3 linked regions of the Drosophila melanogaster genome follow. The gene in region 1 interacts genetically with each later gene. Each region holds a gene or a part of one and is shown in the gene's direction. Other genes may lie near its edges.

Region 1 (4,973 bases):
AAAGAAATCTAATTATTGAAAACAATAAAAACTTGCTTCTTCAAGAAACCAGAAAAAAATATGTTTATACCCAGAACTAAAAATGGTGGATTTCTGTCAAGGGTATAATTAATGTATTGCCTGCGATGTCAAATTTTGAAAGCATTTATTATACTCAAAAATGCAACATTTGATGCACCTTATAAATGTAAGACAACAAAAAACAAAATGCGCACTAAAGCCACGACAACTCAATGCATAATTCGCAAAACGCTTTCTTCTCAACCAAGCTGCTTTAGAAAGATGGCCTCAGATGAAAACCCCTAGATACTGGCGATGTATAGAAATCGCTTAATATATATATATTACAAAAGTACTATAAATAAAACCGCACTGTGTTTTATTACTCTAAACGGTTTATTGATAGGAATAGAACAGGAGGTACTAAGGCACAGGCTTGTCTTGTTCTTGATCCACATTTTGGGATTCCTTTGTAGCTTCGGTGCTATCTAATTCCACTGCATTTGTGTCCTCTGCGCTTTTCGCTTCTGTATTTGAATTCACTGCCTCTTCATTCGAAGTTTCTTGGGTGTTATTGTCGTCGGATTCCTTGGATGCCACCTGTTGTCCTTCCTCAGGGCTACTTTCTGCCTTTTCTTCTGTGGGCTCTTCCTCGGAATCTGTGTTACTATCCTCTGAGGCTTCCTTAGCCAGTGGCTTCTTGTCCTCTCTCGGCTTTTTCGCCCTCTGTTTTCTCTTCAACCGTTTGGCTCGTTTCTTAGCAGTCTTTTCTTCGGCCGCGCGTCTGTTGTCGTCCAACTTCTGCTGGTAAGCTTCATCTGCTGCTTCGCGGGCACTCTGGTTCTGGATGTTCTTCTGGCGGGCGTACTCCTTGCGTCGCAAGTGGCGGTACACATGGAACTCGCCGGAACCCGCTCCAGCACTGCTTCCCATCACATTCCGCACGAACGTGGGCACCGAGGACATGAAGTCCCGTTCGCGACGCTGCTCCGGTATGACCACGGGCTTATCCTGGCAATAAAAGGTTTATTAATATGAATGTCCACCCAGCTTTCCAATGCAAACACATACCGGATTCTTCATGAGCTTCTCCAGCTTCAGCCTCTGTAGATCTGTCGCGGTTTTGATGAACGGCCGCAGAGGCTTGTCCTTCTCATCGGAATCGCTTTCTCCAGATCCCGCATTCTTTTTCTTTTTCTTTGCCTTCTGTTCGGGCTCTTTTACCAAATTCTTTATAAGCGACATGTTTGTTTGGTTAAAAACAGTATTTTATGTGTGGCTGTATTACAAGTCGTAAAAAATACACACCGAATTAAAAAAAAAACTTAACGGGGACTATGCTTGATCTGTAAAATTGTATGCGTCAAATTAGAGTCGATAAGTTAGCGGCGATGGCGGAACGGTGGAATTTCAGGAAAATTTCAATTTTTGAGATAATTTCATAACAGTAGGTCCAGCTATGAACCAACCCATCCTTAAAACAGGCCCTTTACATTAATTAATTTTTAAAAATTGTTGAATAGAAATTCACCTTCAAATAAAATAAAAAAAACCTACCCATGTTACAAATTTCACTGTTCCTCAACGACGCTAATATGACGCACTTTATAAAAAGGCTTAAAAATTTGTTTTAAATAAAAATAAGTTTGTATTGTGCATAAATTACCTTTTATTAAACAGAACACAATTGTTGTTAAAATAAATGCAATCATATATATTGGTATCGTTTTTGCGTGTGCATCCCTATCACTAGTTGTTGTCCATCTGCAATTATACACAGCAAATAACTAAATACTAATTAAAATACTGCAACCAAGCCAATGCCAGCGGTATATTTAAATGTTCACCCGGTGGTCACACTCTCAGCCGTTAACAACATAACGCGTTATTTTCTAGCGAATCGGCCGATTTATATCCTCGATAAGTAATGTGCTGAAAAGAACAGAACTAGCAAAGACCCACTTGTCATAGATGCGTACGAGATCGTTAACCAAACAACAATCACGTTCGCAATCGACCAGAAAGACACTGAAAATCGAACCGAAATCACCCCGAGCTCGGCGAGCGGTTAGAGTTGTGTAACACGGACGGACGGGCCCAAAAAAAAAAGAAACGTGAACTAGAACTCTGTGTCTCCTCCGCTGGTTTTGTTGAGTTTTTGGCGAGCAGGTGAAACAAAAGCATGGCGCTTGAAACGGAGGCGAAGAATTCAAATGCAACGGCCACGGGCGATGCAACAGCAACAGCAACAAAGGCCAGCGGCAAGGCCAAGGAGAACAACAACACGGCCGGCGGCAAAAAGAACCTGAATCCGAATTCGAATCAGCAGAATTCGAATCAGAACTTGGTCAATGGCAATGGCACGGCTGCCGACGGGCCGGCTGCGAAGAAGAAAGGTGCGTTTAACTTTCCGCCTACGCCCATGTTCAACCAACCAATCAACCACCCACCCACCCACACACCAACCCATCACCACCTCCTCTTAGCTTTGCTGCCTTGGAAACTGCCTCAATATATTATTTGCCACAAAAGCCAATCACATAACATTTTTAACATTACGTAATGGGCTTTTTCTTCCCTATAATGCCTTAAAAGCGGCGCCCGTTGTCTATGGCTGCCCCTCCACCCCCTTTTACGAGCCTTCCCTCTCCCCCTCTCTCCATAAACCGCGTGGGTTACAATTGCAATCGTAAATGTGTGTGTGTGTATTATTGGAGTTAAGTGCGTGTGTGAGAACTGCAAGTGTGAGGCTCCCTATCTCTCTCGCTCTTTCTCTTCCTCTTGGCATGGCAACGCACATGTTATTAACCCGGCAACGGCGACGAAATGTTCATTAACCCCCCGGGCGGATTTCTTGTTGCGTTTAACCTACAATTAACACGTGCGCGGCCCGAAATGCATGCACTTAACACACGCAAATTGTTCGACAATTATGTAAATCATGTTTTCTATCCGTAGACGCATCGCTCTACACTTTGTCTCCTTCTCTCCGAATTCCTTGCGGTTAATGAACATTGTACTTATCACTTTTGCTTTCTCCTCTCCCCACTCTCTTTGCCTCTCTCATTCTCTCTCCCTAGCTCTATCTCTATGTATCTCACAGTGCTGTAATTTAGTATACGGCTGTTGAAATTAGCATGGTCGTGTTAAACCCATTCCGTTTTCCTGAGAGATCGAAAGGAGATTGGATTATTCGGTGGACTGTTCGTTCGTACGGACTCCGAACGAACCCGGCCCCTTTGGCCTTATCAGCTCGCTTTTCTCTTTCTGTTTGTTTTTCTACTGTTTTGTTGTAAATGTATGTACATATGCCTTTATATGTATATGCAAGCACACAGCTTGCCGGCGAACACAGACAAACTGAGCGACAAAAGTGTGCGGACAGTATTGTTATGTAAAAATCGGAGCCTGGAGGTAGAGACACCTCTTTTTAAATTATTATATATTGCCAGACAATTTTAGAAAAGAAACGTGTAACGTATTTGCATTACCTTTAATTCTGTCACCATTTTTCAAATAATATCAAGGTTTAATTATTAAACTAGATATAAACCACTATTTATAAATTAAGAATGGTAAACATTAAATTCTAACATAAACTTGGCAGCATTGCTTGGAAATTTAAATTCCTAAGAATAATCTTTTGTTTTTAAAAACATACTAATGAACCATAATAAATAAATAACGGATTTATACAAGATTCTTCTGAGAGACATGGAAACAAAAGTCGGTCCAAAGTTCACGTTTCTCCCTATACATCGAATAGGTTACACAATGCTCCATATGCCTTTCCCAATATTGACTAACAACAAATTACTTCTTCATCGCCCCATGTAGGCAAGAAGAACCGCAACAAAAGCCCAACTGAACCCACAACCGAAGCCGTTCTGAGCAACGGACACGCCGAGAAGCCCACAGTGGTGGATGCAGTTGAGGACAATGCCGATACCAATGCCAATGTGGAGAAACCGCAGGAAGGAGGAGCACCGGATGCTGAGGCTGATGGTGATGACATTGATCTGGACGCTCTGCAGGACATTGGCATCACGGTGAACATCAGCAGTCCCGGCGCCGATCTGCTCTGCGTGCAGCTGTCCAGCATGGAGCTGGTGCAGGAAATCCACCAGCTGCTGATGGACCGCGAAGAGACGTGCCATCGTACATGCTTCTCGCTGCAGCTGGACAACGTGACGCTCGACAATTTCGCCGAACTCAAGTCAATCAATAACCTTGAGCAGGGCTCGACGATCAAAGTGGTAGAGGAGCCGTACACCATGCGGGAGGCCCGTATTCATGTGCGCCATGTCCGTGATCTTCTCAAAAACCTTGACCCGGCCGACGCGTACAATGGCATTGACTGTACTTCGCTGACCTACTTAAACACGATCACTCAGGGTGATTTGCTGGACAAGAAGAGGACGCGACCGGACTCCGTGGATTGCACTCCGCCGGAGTATGTGACTCCGGGTGTAAGTGATCCGCCAATTCTGCCATTGCATCCAAATGTGAAGAACGCCAAGGGACCGCAGGCTCTCAAGGTACTGACTACATCCGCCTGGAACCCGCCACCCGGTCCTCGCAAGCTGCATGGTGACCTCATGTATCTGTACGTTGTCACCATGGAGGATAAACGATTCCACATCTCAGCCTGTTCCAAGGGCTTCTTCATCAACCAGTCGACAGACGACACCTTTAATCCCAAGCCCGACAATCCAAGCCACCTCAGCCACTCGCTGATCGATCTGCTTTCCCACATATCACCATCGTTCCGACGTGCCTTCCAGACCATCCAGAAGCGACGCACCATGCGTCATGCCTTCGAGCGTGTAGCCACGCCCTATCAGGTGTACCAGTGGGCAGCTCCCATCCTGGAGCACACAGTGGACGCTATTCGTGCCGAGGATGCATTCAGCTCAAAATTGGGGTAGGTTGAGCAAAAAGATTTTAATAGTATTACTACATAAATGTTAACA
Region 2 (6,414 bases), on another chromosome or scaffold:
GGGGCGTGCCCCATCACCATCACCCCCGCCCGTCTTTCGCAATAACTGTCAACTCAAACTCAAGAAGTTTTCCACGCCGCACATTTCGGCAAGTTGTCAAGCCAGAGATACGAAAGTTCCCCGGTCCAACAATGCCAATTTGATGGGGGAAATTTTGAAATATTTATACACACTCAAACACACAGATACAGCAGAGGTGTGCTGGCAAAGTTGCCAGCCAAATTTGTTAATTGGAAGCCGAAAGTTTATCTATGAAAATGCTAAAGAAGCCCACTTGCAGTTCGAAAAATGCCAGAATGTATAATAATGGGGCAAGAAATGAGATTAGTCAGTATCCCAAACTTGAATGATCAAAGTTTCATGGATGGCGTAACTAATTTTGAAGTGGAATGATTAAATTTTGAAACTACTTATAATCGATATTACCATCCTGCGATCGGAACAATAAACTCAAACAATTCGATACTTCAATGGGATTGTAAATAATAAGTCATCTTAAATCATCCCAAGCATATTCAAATCGCTTGGAAGCCATTAAAGAGATAAGCGAGCATTGCAAAATGATATCAGCCAACTTGTAACAATTTTCATTGTCATTTTCAATTGGGAGCAGCCAGGAGGAGCTGGCCAAACAACAATGGGAACTGTTATCAAATAGGACACATGATGCATACGTGAGTGGGGGCTTCTATGCACATGGATGTGGTACATACATATGTACGTCCAATATTCTGGTCCATTTGGGCCAGGCCACTATCGAAATTTGAATGCTTAGTGTACCGGGCGACAAGCATCCTCGAACATTGAAATAAACCGATAAAAACGACAGATGAGCCCGGCATTTCGCCCACAATGCATGCCAGGCAGGCAATCGAGTGTGGTCGAGAAATAGTCGGGTAGCCCCCTTTTTGGTTTTGGGGCACAGCTCACTGCCCTGCAATTCTTATATAAAACCGGGGAAGTCCCCATCCCAACCGCCCATGCAAATCTCGAGCACTTGAGGCCGGTCCCCAGATTATTCCTTTTCCCTATTTTGGGCCACGTGGTCTGACCACTTGGCGGCTGCTCCAACTTTAATATTTCTTCGTTTAAATAGTCCTTTATTTCTGCAGAAATTAGACAAAATCAAAGACAATATATTTATGCTATATATTCATTTTCACTGTTATGTCTGTAAGGGTATTCAGAAATGCGCCTACTCTGTGTAGTTTTTCAATTTAGTTAGATACGATGAATATATTGAGATTCTGCCAGATTTAGATTGTGGTGTGTGAGTTTTCAGATTGGTTTGTAAGGACCCCTTTTGTTTGGTCCATATCAATACAAACTCCTCATGTGCATATAAAATAAGTAAAAAGGCAAAATATGAAACAAAACAAAAAGAAAAGGACATTCATATTTTGTAGCTATTGGGGGATTTTAAGTAATGTTATGAAATCATACCTTTCTTTATTTGTGTAAAGTATTCAATACACGCAACTAACGGGCAAAATTGGAAACACCCAAAAATTCAATTTTGGCGCGCACAGAAAGCTGCCCTTTTGGAATAGATTGGCAGCACTCTCGCGCACGGTGGCAACCTCGTCTAGGGACTGCCGATAGCAGCAAGTTCCGCCCGTGTGGCAACACCGCTAGAAAAACAGTCTAAATTTGCTGTGCAACACTGGCGGTTTGCAAAAATAATTTCGGTGCTCGCGTCAATCAGAAAAAGCCGAAAAGAACGGCCTTTATGTGCGCGAATTAATCGCCAGCCGAGTGGAACGCGACCAAAGGAACCCAGCACACACACACACTCAGAATGGAGGCCCTAATTCCGGTCATAAACAAGCTGCAGGACGTCTTCAACACCGTGGGCTCCGACTCCATCCAATTGCCCCAAATTGTTGTTCTAGGCAGTCAGGTAAATGCAAACTGCGAGGTGCCCAAAAATCCGCACACCGAAAACCATAAATCCCCGAGCTCCGTAAAAGGAGTGGCAACTGAGAACCGGAATATGGCGCAGCTATCTGAAACCCCAACTCTTGCGCTTTTCCAGTGACCGCAAAATTATATAACTGAGTGCGTTTGCCGGCATTTTAGTTGTGTTTTCAGTTTGTAGCAACATTTCAGCCAGCTTTCGCTCTTCGCGGCGTCCCCATTGTTTATATAATTATTTTTGGCACTGCTCGCCGCCGCCATGGAAAATCAATATGCCACAGTATTATACAAAAACGAAAAAAAAAACAGCTGCTGGCTGATGTGACACATTCCCCCACGAACACACTGCAAAAAACAAACGTACACATGTGTGACTTCGATAGTTGTGTCTGTATGTACATATATGTGTGCATGTTTCGATCGCTGGCTTAATTGCACTTTGATTCACGCTCTGGAATTAAGTCAGTATGACTAAATGCTCGCGCAACTCATTGATACCGAGTACAGCGGAGCTCCAATATGTTGAATCTGTGCCATTTCTTACCATTCATTTGGTTTTCTGTTGCAAAGGCTTAAGTTTGAGAAATTTGCAATCACAGAATGGCTCCCATTGCCAGATAAGAATAGTTAATCTGCGGTTTTCCAAGTGTTTCCTCGCTGCAAACGCTTGGGAGCCACCTTATCAGGTCATCGTCTTTTATCAGCCGTCGTTTTAACTCCCAGTAATACATACATTTCCCCTTTTTTCCAGAGCTCCGGCAAGAGTTCGGTGATCGAGAGCGTTGTGGGACGATCCTTTCTGCCCCGTGGAACTGGTATTGTGACCCGTCGCCCACTGGTGCTCCAGCTGATCTACAGCCCACTCGATGATCGCGAGAATCGCTCGGCGGAAAATGGTGAGTTGAGACGTCAGAAGTTCGGGAAAACCCAATTGCTAAACCACATAACACTTAGGTACGTCCAATGCCGAGGAGTGGGGCCGCTTCCTGCACACCAAGAAGTGCTTCACGGACTTTGACGAGATCCGCAAGGAGATCGAAAACGAAACGGAGCGGGCGGCGGGCAGCAACAAGGGCATCTGCCCGGAGCCCATCAACCTGAAGATATTCTCAACGCACGTGGTCAACCTAACGCTGGTGGATCTGCCCGGCATCACCAAGGTCCCGGTGGGCGATCAGCCGGAGGATATCGAGGCGCAGATCAAAGAATTGGTCCTCAAGTACATTGAGAACCCGAACTCCATCATTTTGGCTGTGACGGCCGCCAACACGGACATGGCCACCAGTGAGGCACTCAAGCTGGCCAAGGACGTGGACCCCGATGGCCGGCGCACTCTGGCCGTGGTCACGAAACTGGATCTCATGGATGCCGGCACCGATGCCATCGACATCCTGTGCGGCCGGGTCATTCCCGTCAAGCTGGGCATCATCGGCGTTATGAATCGCTCGCAGAAGGACATCATGGACCAAAAGCACATCGACGATCAGATGAAGGACGAGGCCGCCTTCCTGCAGCGCAAGTATCCCACTCTGGCCACCCGGAACGGCACGCCCTACTTGGCCAAGACCCTCAACCGGCTCCTGATGCACCACATCCGGGACTGCCTGCCAGATCTTAAGGTGAGTCTAGTCTATAAAGACTGCATATCGATTTCACAAACTATGCGAGAATCTCAGGCTAAAACTTCAAGAAAATGTAAAAAAATGAAACAAACTTGGCACTCGATTATAATCGATCTTTATATTTTTCTATGGTAAAGCAAGAGAAGATTAATGGCAGATAAGGTTAGAATAGCATGTTGAATTCAAGAGAATGACTTCCCATATTCTTGCAGACTCGCGTCAACATCATGGCCACGCAATTCCAATCGCTGCTGAACTCCTATGGCGAGGATGTCTCCGACAAGAGCCAGACCCTGCTGCAGATCATCACGAAGTTCTCCAGCGCCTACTGCTGCACAATCGAGGGCACGGCCAGGAATATCGAGACCACGGAACTGTGCGGCGGTGCCCGGATGGGCTACATTTTCCACGAGACCTTCGGCCGCACCCTGGACTCCATTCACCCGCTGGCGGGTCTGAGCAAGATGGACATACTGACAGCCATCCGGAATGCCACTGGTCCACGCCCGGCTTTGTTCGTTCCGGAGGTCTCGTTCGAACTGCTAGTGAAGCGCCAGATTCGCCGCCTGGAGGAACCCTCCTTGCGCTGCGTGGAACTCATTCACGAGGAGATGCAGCGCATTGTTCAGCATTGTGGCAACGAAGTGCAGCAGGAGATGCTGCGGTATGTGAACTCATGATAGCTGAACGCCAAAGGTTTTCATCGATCTCCCCTACAGCTTTCCCAAACTGCACGAGAAGATTGTGGACGTGGTCACCCAGCTGCTGCGTCGACGTCTGCCGCACACCAACGTGATGGTGGAGAACATTGTGGCCATCGAGCTGGCCTACATCAACACCAAGCACCCCGACTTCCACAAGGATGCCGCTTTGGTGCCCAGTCTGCTGAAAACGGACAGCGATCCCTACTCACAGATAAATCTGGGGCAGCGGCGGGCCAATACACCGCGAAACCACATGTCGCCTCAGATTTCGTCGCACAGTGCTGGTTCACAGCAGCCGCAGCAGCAACAGCCGCCGCAGCCGAATTCCTCACAGCAGCAATATAGCCAAGTGCATGAGCAGGTGCCAGCGGAATCTTCATTTATGTATGCAACCTATTTAACCCATTTTCGTTTCGCTCTCTAGAACCACGTCGCCGAGAACTCGACGCCTTCGATGGCCAGCACATGGCTGTCAAACATTTTACCGCCGGCACCAACGCGTCCGGACAGCATTGAGAACTCGACCAACAACACTCCGGTTCACAATAACATCGTGAGTCCAGTGAAGCCGGTCAATCTGCTGCCCGATGTGCCGGCCAACCACAATCCACGTCGCCTCACTGACAAGGAGCAGAAGGATTGCGATGTCATCGGTGGGTTGCACTTAACTCGGGCCACTTAAAGACCTAACTCAATCTGACTACTTTTTGTTTTTAGAACACCTGATCAAATCGTATTTCTACATTGTGCGCAAATCCATACAAGACTCGGTTCCAAAGGCCATCATGCATTTCTTGGTTAACTACGTTAAGGACAACTTGCAGAGCGAATTGGTTACACATCTGTATAAGTCGGATAAGGCTGAAACCCTGCTCAACGAGTCCGATCACATTGCAGTGCGCCGAAAAGAGGCGGCAGATATGCTGAAGGTGCGCTTGGCTAGCTTATACTTAGCTTGACATCGTTTTAAACTTACTTTTGATTTCAGGCACTGACGCGAGCGAATCACATCATCAGCGAAATCCGCGAGACCCACATGTGGTAGGCTGGTCAGCGATTGGAGCAACCCGTTTCGACTTAATAATCCCCGCATATAAGCAACATAAAAACTATTTATTGAAGACGCGTTCAAAGAGAACGAACTCCTTTGTTAAATGTTCCCCCTACCGAGCACTGAAATATCATCAAATTGCATGCGACCCCCAAATTCTGGGCCTTTCATTTAGCCAACTCGCATTTCTATTCGCCTGGCATTTGTCTATCATCGAGCCTCTCCGCTTTTTAAATTAATAAGAAGTTGTAGACGCCGTGATTGGTTTGATTAGGTTACTCAAAGCACTTATTACACATTGAATAGTCAAATAAAGCAGAAAAGGTTGATTCAAACATAGTAGATGTGTTTTCTGTCACGGCAGCTAAAAGTTTACGAAGGCAACGTCATCATGTTGAATGATACACCTGGAATTTCGATTAGATAAGCCATTATGTTCGTAAAGTTGCTAGGCTCAGTCTGAAGATTAATAAGTGTTTAAATCTGATAGGAGTTGAATCTTCCTGAGTTTTGAGATGCGTAGCAATTGCTTAGCCTTACTAAAAACAAAATTTTTCTTACAAATTATGTTACATGTAGGTGTGGCTTGAGTGAACTAGAAGTACGTTCGTTCCCCTGATTGAAATCACTGCCACTCACCTTTCGTAATAAAAACTTTAATACTTGGATACCAGTTAAAATCTAATTTGGAAAACGTCATTTGTATTGCGGCGAAGAAACAGAAGTGGGTTCCAGCTGGGGCGTGGCAAATCCCGAAGATAAGGATGTGGTGTCCAGTGCTCCAATCCTGTGTTGATTAAATGCTCCGCGATGCGTATGAATCGGTTTATGGGGCAGGGAACAGTTGGGGTAGTGACTCTATGACCGCCTTTGGCTGTGCTGATCTCCTCTAGGCGCGATTTGTGTCGGACAGCACGCGGACAATGCAGCCCACTCCTCCCTTGGCGAAGGCCTTCTCATGCCACTGCAGCAGGTGGCCACTGGAGCCCTCCGAGGGGATCTCGAATCCCCGATATATGTACTTCATCAGCACGTCTATTAGGTCGTTCTGGTCCAAGGTGTCGATGGCCTGGTCCATTTGCGTCGACTTGATGGACAGCAGCACCCGCAGCGTGATGTT
Region 3 (5,925 bases), 6.2 Mb from region 1:
TATCTTCACAATAAGTATAATACAGAATCAAGATAGTAAAATAAAACAAAAAATCGTGTGAATAAATCAGAGCTAAAGACGTCGGACTGTACAGCAGAGTTTGGTGGAAAAGAGAGAAAAGCGAGGAGAGCGCTGTTTGCATCATACACCGCAATGAATGAGTGCCCCATAATTGTGACTTTGGGTCTGAGGCGGTTCCGCTGCCCTGCCCCCCGCTCTTCGCTGCTTCCTGCGCCGCGGAAGGCGACGGCCATCTTTATCAGCCACCCCGACTCCCCACTCCTCTTCATCGTCACCCTCATCGTCACAAAAACTGGTTTCCGCTCGCCACTTTCTTTTGCTCTCTGCGCAGGCGCTCTTCGAAGACAAGAGACTTGCAGGCGATTGGTTGAATTCGTTCTGCGTTTCTATGGAGTTTGCTCCCATTCTTTTGGGGGCAGCGACCACGCCCAATGACGCTGCTCTCCTCTCTGCCGACGTCGCTGTCACTCTCTTAAGTACTAAAAAATAAAACTGAAAGTAAAGCTAAATAAAACGCTGCCATAATTGGCATCGTTAATGCCAAAACCATGAATACTAAAAAGTTTTTACGAGCATAAGCTGCGATTGAGCAGTTATTGTAGGGACAGGTTGATGGCCGAGTGTTCTAGGGAAATGAATGAATGAAGATTTTTTCTTACTACCAAAACTTCTACAACTAAGTGAAATAGACGGATTGAGTTCTACATACTTCCTACATATATTTTAGATATAGACATAGCCGAAAAGTATGCTGCACTTTTTCAATAAAAACGTAAGCAGCTACGTTATCACGCATGGCTTCATAGCAGCGATCATCTGCCAGCGAGCATAGCCAAGTTAGGCACCTGCACACATTGCCACTCTTTCCTTTAGCGTTGCCACTTCAATTTCTTTTACAAACCATCGCAGCGTGTAATCGATATTTTCTAAGCCCAATCGATGAATGTCCGGTAACGCACATCACCAATCTGTTTCTGCTGCCTCATCTTTGAATTTGACTAAAAGTGCCGATTTCCAGCTCAACGAATAGTCCAAGTCGCGCCGAATTGTACAATTAAGTTAAAAAGTTCAACGTCAACTAGTTTATCATGGCAGATTCCAAGGGGTAAGTGAACTGGACGCCGAAATAGGCGCCGACTGTGTCGGTCCAAGTCGAAATTCACAAATTTCGCTCAGTCATTGAGCCGAAAAAAATACGCAAGGGCCACATCGCAGACATACTATTATTTAATTGTGAAAGGCTTTCGCCGATTTCCGCGAGACAAAGACATTTACCGCGACTTTTCCACTGCTCGGTTGCAAAATGTTGCGAAACTAGGGCAAACCTAAAAACCGAAGAAAAAAAAACGCCAGCGAGAATCGCCATTTGCAGTACGTTGTTGTTGTTGTTGGTGTTACTGCCCTTGCAGTTGTTGTTGCCGCTTGAAAACTTACGATTTCCCTTTGTTGTCCCAAAAATACAAGTCATCCTTTGCTGGAGGATACAATTTTCCGGTTGTTGTAGTTATAACTTTGGATACGAAAAACAATACTGCATACATATATGGCAGCTATTTCTATAATAAATCGCGAAAATCCTAAACTATATGCCGAAACCACTTATTTCAATGCTACCTATTAGTAATACCTTTTTTGATATTGCATTAATTCTAGAAAAGTCTTTGTGCTCCCTCAACTCGCCAGAAGTAAAAAAAAACATATCGTTTAAGTAACAATAAATGCATAATTTACCTCAAAGTTTAGAAATTATTATAACAAATGGCGCCAAAAAAGTTGGCATCGAATACAAGAAATACAAACATACTTTTATAACTAAAGACAATAAACAATTGTACTATTATTCCGATTAATATAGATTTTTATGAACGATATAGGGTGATAACCTTTTATGTTCAAAAATCTATCAATAAAGATTGATCGACATCATCACGTTAGCAACGAAAAATGATTCGGCAGGCCTAATTATCCAGATGCTTAGTTCCATTCCGTATTACTAGTGAAAGTAGTTTCCATAAATTTATCAAAACTAACAAAAAAGGCAATCCAAAAAAACAAAAAAAAAAACAAAAAAAACAATGTCTGGCGGCAAGAACGATAAGATGGATCATGATGGGGATACGAGGGACTTTATGCGGGGATATCACAGCGAGCAGGATGAGAAAATGAAGCCGAAAGACTCGTTCGATAAGCGGTTAGGCCAAATTATATATAAGACATAAGATATTTCTTTAGCGACGAGTCTTACGCGATGCTTTTTTCTTCTACCCTACAGTGAAGATCTGGCTACGGCGATCCTGAAGCGCAAGGACCGTCCCAACCGACTGATTGTGGAAGAGGCGCAGAATGACGACAACTCTGTGGTGTCGCTATCGCAGGTAAGATTCACTCTCCCAAAGGCCACGTCATCGCATGGCTAATTCACATGACTTGGCTGTTCTTTTTCCCCCTTAAACTATATCAGGCGAAGATGGATGAGCTGCAGCTCTTCCGTGGCGACACCGTGATTCTGAAGGGCAAGCGCCGAAAGGAGACGGTGTGCATCGTGCTCTCGGACGACACCTGTCCCGACGAGAAGATCCGCATGAACCGCGTGGTGCGCAACAACCTGTGCGTCCATCTTTCAGATGTGGTTTCCGTGCAGTCCTGCCCGGACGTCAAGTACGGCAAACGGGTGCGCATCCTGCCCATCGACGAAAGCACCGAAGGCGTTACCGGCAACCTGTTCGAGATCTATCTGAAGCCGTACTTCCTAGAGGCCTATCGGCCAATCCACATGGGCGACAACTTTATTGTGCGCGCCGCCATGCGTCCTATTGAGTTCAAGGTGGTGCTGACCGACCCGGAGCCCTACTGCATCGTAGCTCCCGAGACGGTAATCTTCTGCGACGGTGATCCAATTAAGCGCGAGGAGGAGGAGGAGTCCCTAAACGCCGTTGGCTACGATGATATCGGTGGTTGCCGCAAGCAGCTGGCCCAGATCAAGGAGATGGTTGAGTTGCCTTTGCGGCATCCATCGCTCTTCAAGGCCATTGGTGTGAAGCCACCGCGTGGTATTCTTATGTACGGTCCCCCGGGTACCGGTAAGACCCTGATTGCCAGGGCTGTGGCCAACGAGACCGGAGCCTTTTTCTTCCTGATTAACGGACCGGAGATCATGTCCAAACTGGCCGGAGAGTCGGAATCGAATCTGCGCAAGGCCTTCGAGGAAGCCGAGAAAAACTCGCCGGCTATCATCTTCATCGATGAGATCGACGCTATTGCCCCCAAGCGTGACAAGACCCACGGTGAGGTGGAGCGTCGCATTGTGTCGCAGCTTTTGACCCTGATGGATGGCATGAAGAAGAGCTCCCATCTGATCGTTATGGCTGCTACCAACAGGCCCAACTCCATTGACCCGGCCCTGCGTCGCTTTGGACGTTTTGATCGTGAGATTGACATCGGCATTCCAGATGCCACTGGACGGCTGGAGGTGCTGCGCATTCACACCAAGAACATGAAGCTGCATGATGATGTTGACCTGGAGCAGATTGCTGCCGAATCCCACGGACATGTGGGCGCTGATCTGGCTTCACTCTGCTCTGAGGCTGCCCTTCAGCAAATCCGTGAGAAGATGGACCTCATCGATTTGGAAGACGATAAGATCGATGCCGAGGTGCTGGCGTCGCTGGCCGTGACAATGGAGAACTTCCGCTACGCTATGACCAAGTCCAGTCCATCGGCGCTGCGTGAAACTGTTGTTGAGGTGCCCAACACCACCTGGACAGACATCGGAGGTCTGGAGAGCGTCAAGAAGGAATTGCAGGAGCTGGTGCAATACCCAGTGGAGCATCCGGACAAGTTCTTGAAGTTTGGCATGCAGCCCAGTCGCGGTGTCCTTTTCTACGGACCCCCTGGTTGCGGTAAGACGCTGCTGGCCAAGGCCATTGCCAACGAGTGCCAGGCGAACTTCATCTCAGTCAAGGGTCCCGAACTGCTGACCATGTGGTTCGGCGAGTCTGAGGCCAACGTGCGCGACATCTTCGATAAGGCCCGCTCGGCGGCTCCTTGTGTGCTCTTCTTCGACGAGCTGGACTCGATCGCCAAAGCCCGTGGCGGTAATGTCGGCGATGCTGGCGGCGCCGCTGATCGTGTGATCAATCAGATCCTTACCGAAATGGATGGCATGGGAGCCAAGAAGAATGTGTTCATCATCGGAGCCACCAATCGCCCGGACATTATCGATCCGGCCATCCTCCGTCCGGGCCGTCTGGATCAGTTGATCTATATTCCGCTGCCCGACGACAAATCGCGTGAGGCTATCCTGAAGGCTAACTTGCGCAAGTCGCCGCTGGCCAAGGAAGTAGACCTTACCTACATCGCCAAGGTGACGCAGGGCTTCTCTGGCGCCGATCTGACCGAGATCTGCCAGCGGGCTTGCAAGCTGGCCATCCGACAGGCCATCGAGGCTGAAATTCGTCGCGAGAAGGAGCGCGCCGAAAATCAGAACTCCGCGATGGACGTAAGTCATTTAGCTTAGCGCAAAAAATAAGAATGTTTATGTTTGACTATTTACCCATATAATCAGATGGACGAGGACGATCCAGTGCCGGAGATTACTAGCGCCCACTTCGAGGAGGCCATGAAGTTCGCTCGCCGTTCGGTGTCCGATAATGACATCAGGAAGTACGAGATGTTTGCCCAGACTTTGCAGCAGTCCCGTGGATTCGGACAGAACTTCAGGTGAGAATTGAAAGGCATTTCTTGTTGGAATCCAGGTTACTGATGATAGTGTATATGTTATTGCAGATTCCCCGGTCAAACCGGCAACACCTCAGGATCTGGTAACAACTTGCCAGTTAACTCGCCCGGCGACAACGGCGACGATGATCTTTACAGTTAGATTTCTAGTTTTACACCGCAAAACAAAACCACAAAATGGAACTTTTTAAATGAATTTTTTCCGTAAAACCGAGCAAGCAAAACCAATCACATTCGCATCCTGGACGCGGTAACTTACTACAGCAACCATTGGCTAAGACATCCAGCCGATGGCGAAATCAGATGACATACCCGATTCAATATTCACTTCTTTGATACCATCCTTACTCTTGGTCGCGGATACGTGCAGTAGGAGAAGGTTCCCATTTGGATTTGGGCTCGCCTAATCCGAAACCATTTTAATTGGCGAACTATTCCGCGCCTCACACTAATCATTCGTGCATTGTCGGTAGAGTGGCTCCGATATATGAGTTTCTATAAACATAATTATTAACGATACACATACACACATACATTTAAAGATAAATACATATATTAAACACCGTAAAATTATAAGTGTATTTGGAGCTACATTTTTAAGTGAATAAAAATTATAAATTCAACAAAATCATGTGCTTTAAATTGAAGAAATATTGAAAAATAGACGCAACGAGGTAATTGGGTGTTGAGATTAAAGAGCAAGAGTTACATAATCAATTATTTATTTTTGATAAGGTTCACTAGCAAAGTGGAACGTTGCTTTATTTTAACTGATCATTGGCCACAGTGCAATAAAATGCGTAATAAATTAAATTGGTCGGTACTCGTATGAGTGCAGTGAAAAAATATGTCTTCGTGCCTCGATTTCTGCAAGTCCAATTTAGTCATCAAGAGTACTAACCAAATCCATACTGTTCCCATTTGAAAATATCATTTCATTTGTTTTATCGCATTTATTAAACTTGTATTAATTCGTCATGTTTGCTTTTTCTGGTTTTCAATTGTTTTTTCACTTTTATTTTTATTAATTCTTTGCGACATAACAAGGACATCTTAATATGAAGTTAGTTGAATTCTTTCATATTTAAATAATCATTATCGCTTCGGTCTTATAAATAAACTTTCTTTGCCATTCTTTTAACCGCTCGTTAATTAAATCAATGTTTT

What was found.
Region 2: of clu (region 1) and Drp1, changing one suppresses a phenotype caused by changing the other (phenotypic suppression), as found in Drosophila melanogaster (one study listed by BioGRID).
Region 3: of clu (region 1) and TER94, changing one suppresses a phenotype caused by changing the other (phenotypic suppression), as found in Drosophila melanogaster (one study listed by BioGRID).

What each region holds. Positions count from the first base shown.
Region 1 is NT_033778.4:16,184,741-16,189,713, forward strand, and holds the start of clu (clueless), read left to right. Parts: upstream 1-1,843; 5' UTR 1,844-2,182; coding exon 2,183-2,396; intron 2,397-3,148; exon of another isoform or gene 3,149-3,414; intron 3,415-3,837; coding exon 3,838-4,924; intron 4,925-4,973. Other genes in the region: CG8441 (uncharacterized protein), read right to left, coding at 424-1,011, 1,072-1,245. UniProt on the Drosophila melanogaster protein: mRNA-binding protein involved in proper cytoplasmic distribution of mitochondria.
Region 2 is NT_033779.5:2,580,656-2,587,069, reverse strand, and holds Drp1 (dynamin related protein 1), read left to right. Parts: upstream 1-1,639; 5' UTR 1,640-1,798; coding exon 1,799-1,900; intron 1,901-2,668; coding exon 2,669-2,813; intron 2,814-2,871; coding exon 2,872-3,536; intron 3,537-3,751; coding exon 3,752-4,203; intron 4,204-4,258; coding exon 4,259-4,604; intron 4,605-4,667; coding exon 4,668-4,896; intron 4,897-4,960; coding exon 4,961-5,172; intron 5,173-5,231; coding exon 5,232-5,288; 3' UTR 5,289-5,789; downstream 5,790-6,414. Other genes in the region: Arpc5 (Actin-related protein 2/3 complex, subunit 5), read right to left, coding at 6,184-6,414.
Region 3 is NT_033778.4:9,988,178-9,994,102, forward strand, and holds TER94 (transitional endoplasmic reticulum 94), read left to right. Parts: upstream 1-2,025; 5' UTR 2,026-2,120; coding exon 2,121-2,212; intron 2,213-2,293; coding exon 2,294-2,396; intron 2,397-2,482; coding exon 2,483-4,519; intron 4,520-4,585; coding exon 4,586-4,740; intron 4,741-4,806; coding exon 4,807-4,900; 3' UTR 4,901-5,382; downstream 5,383-5,925.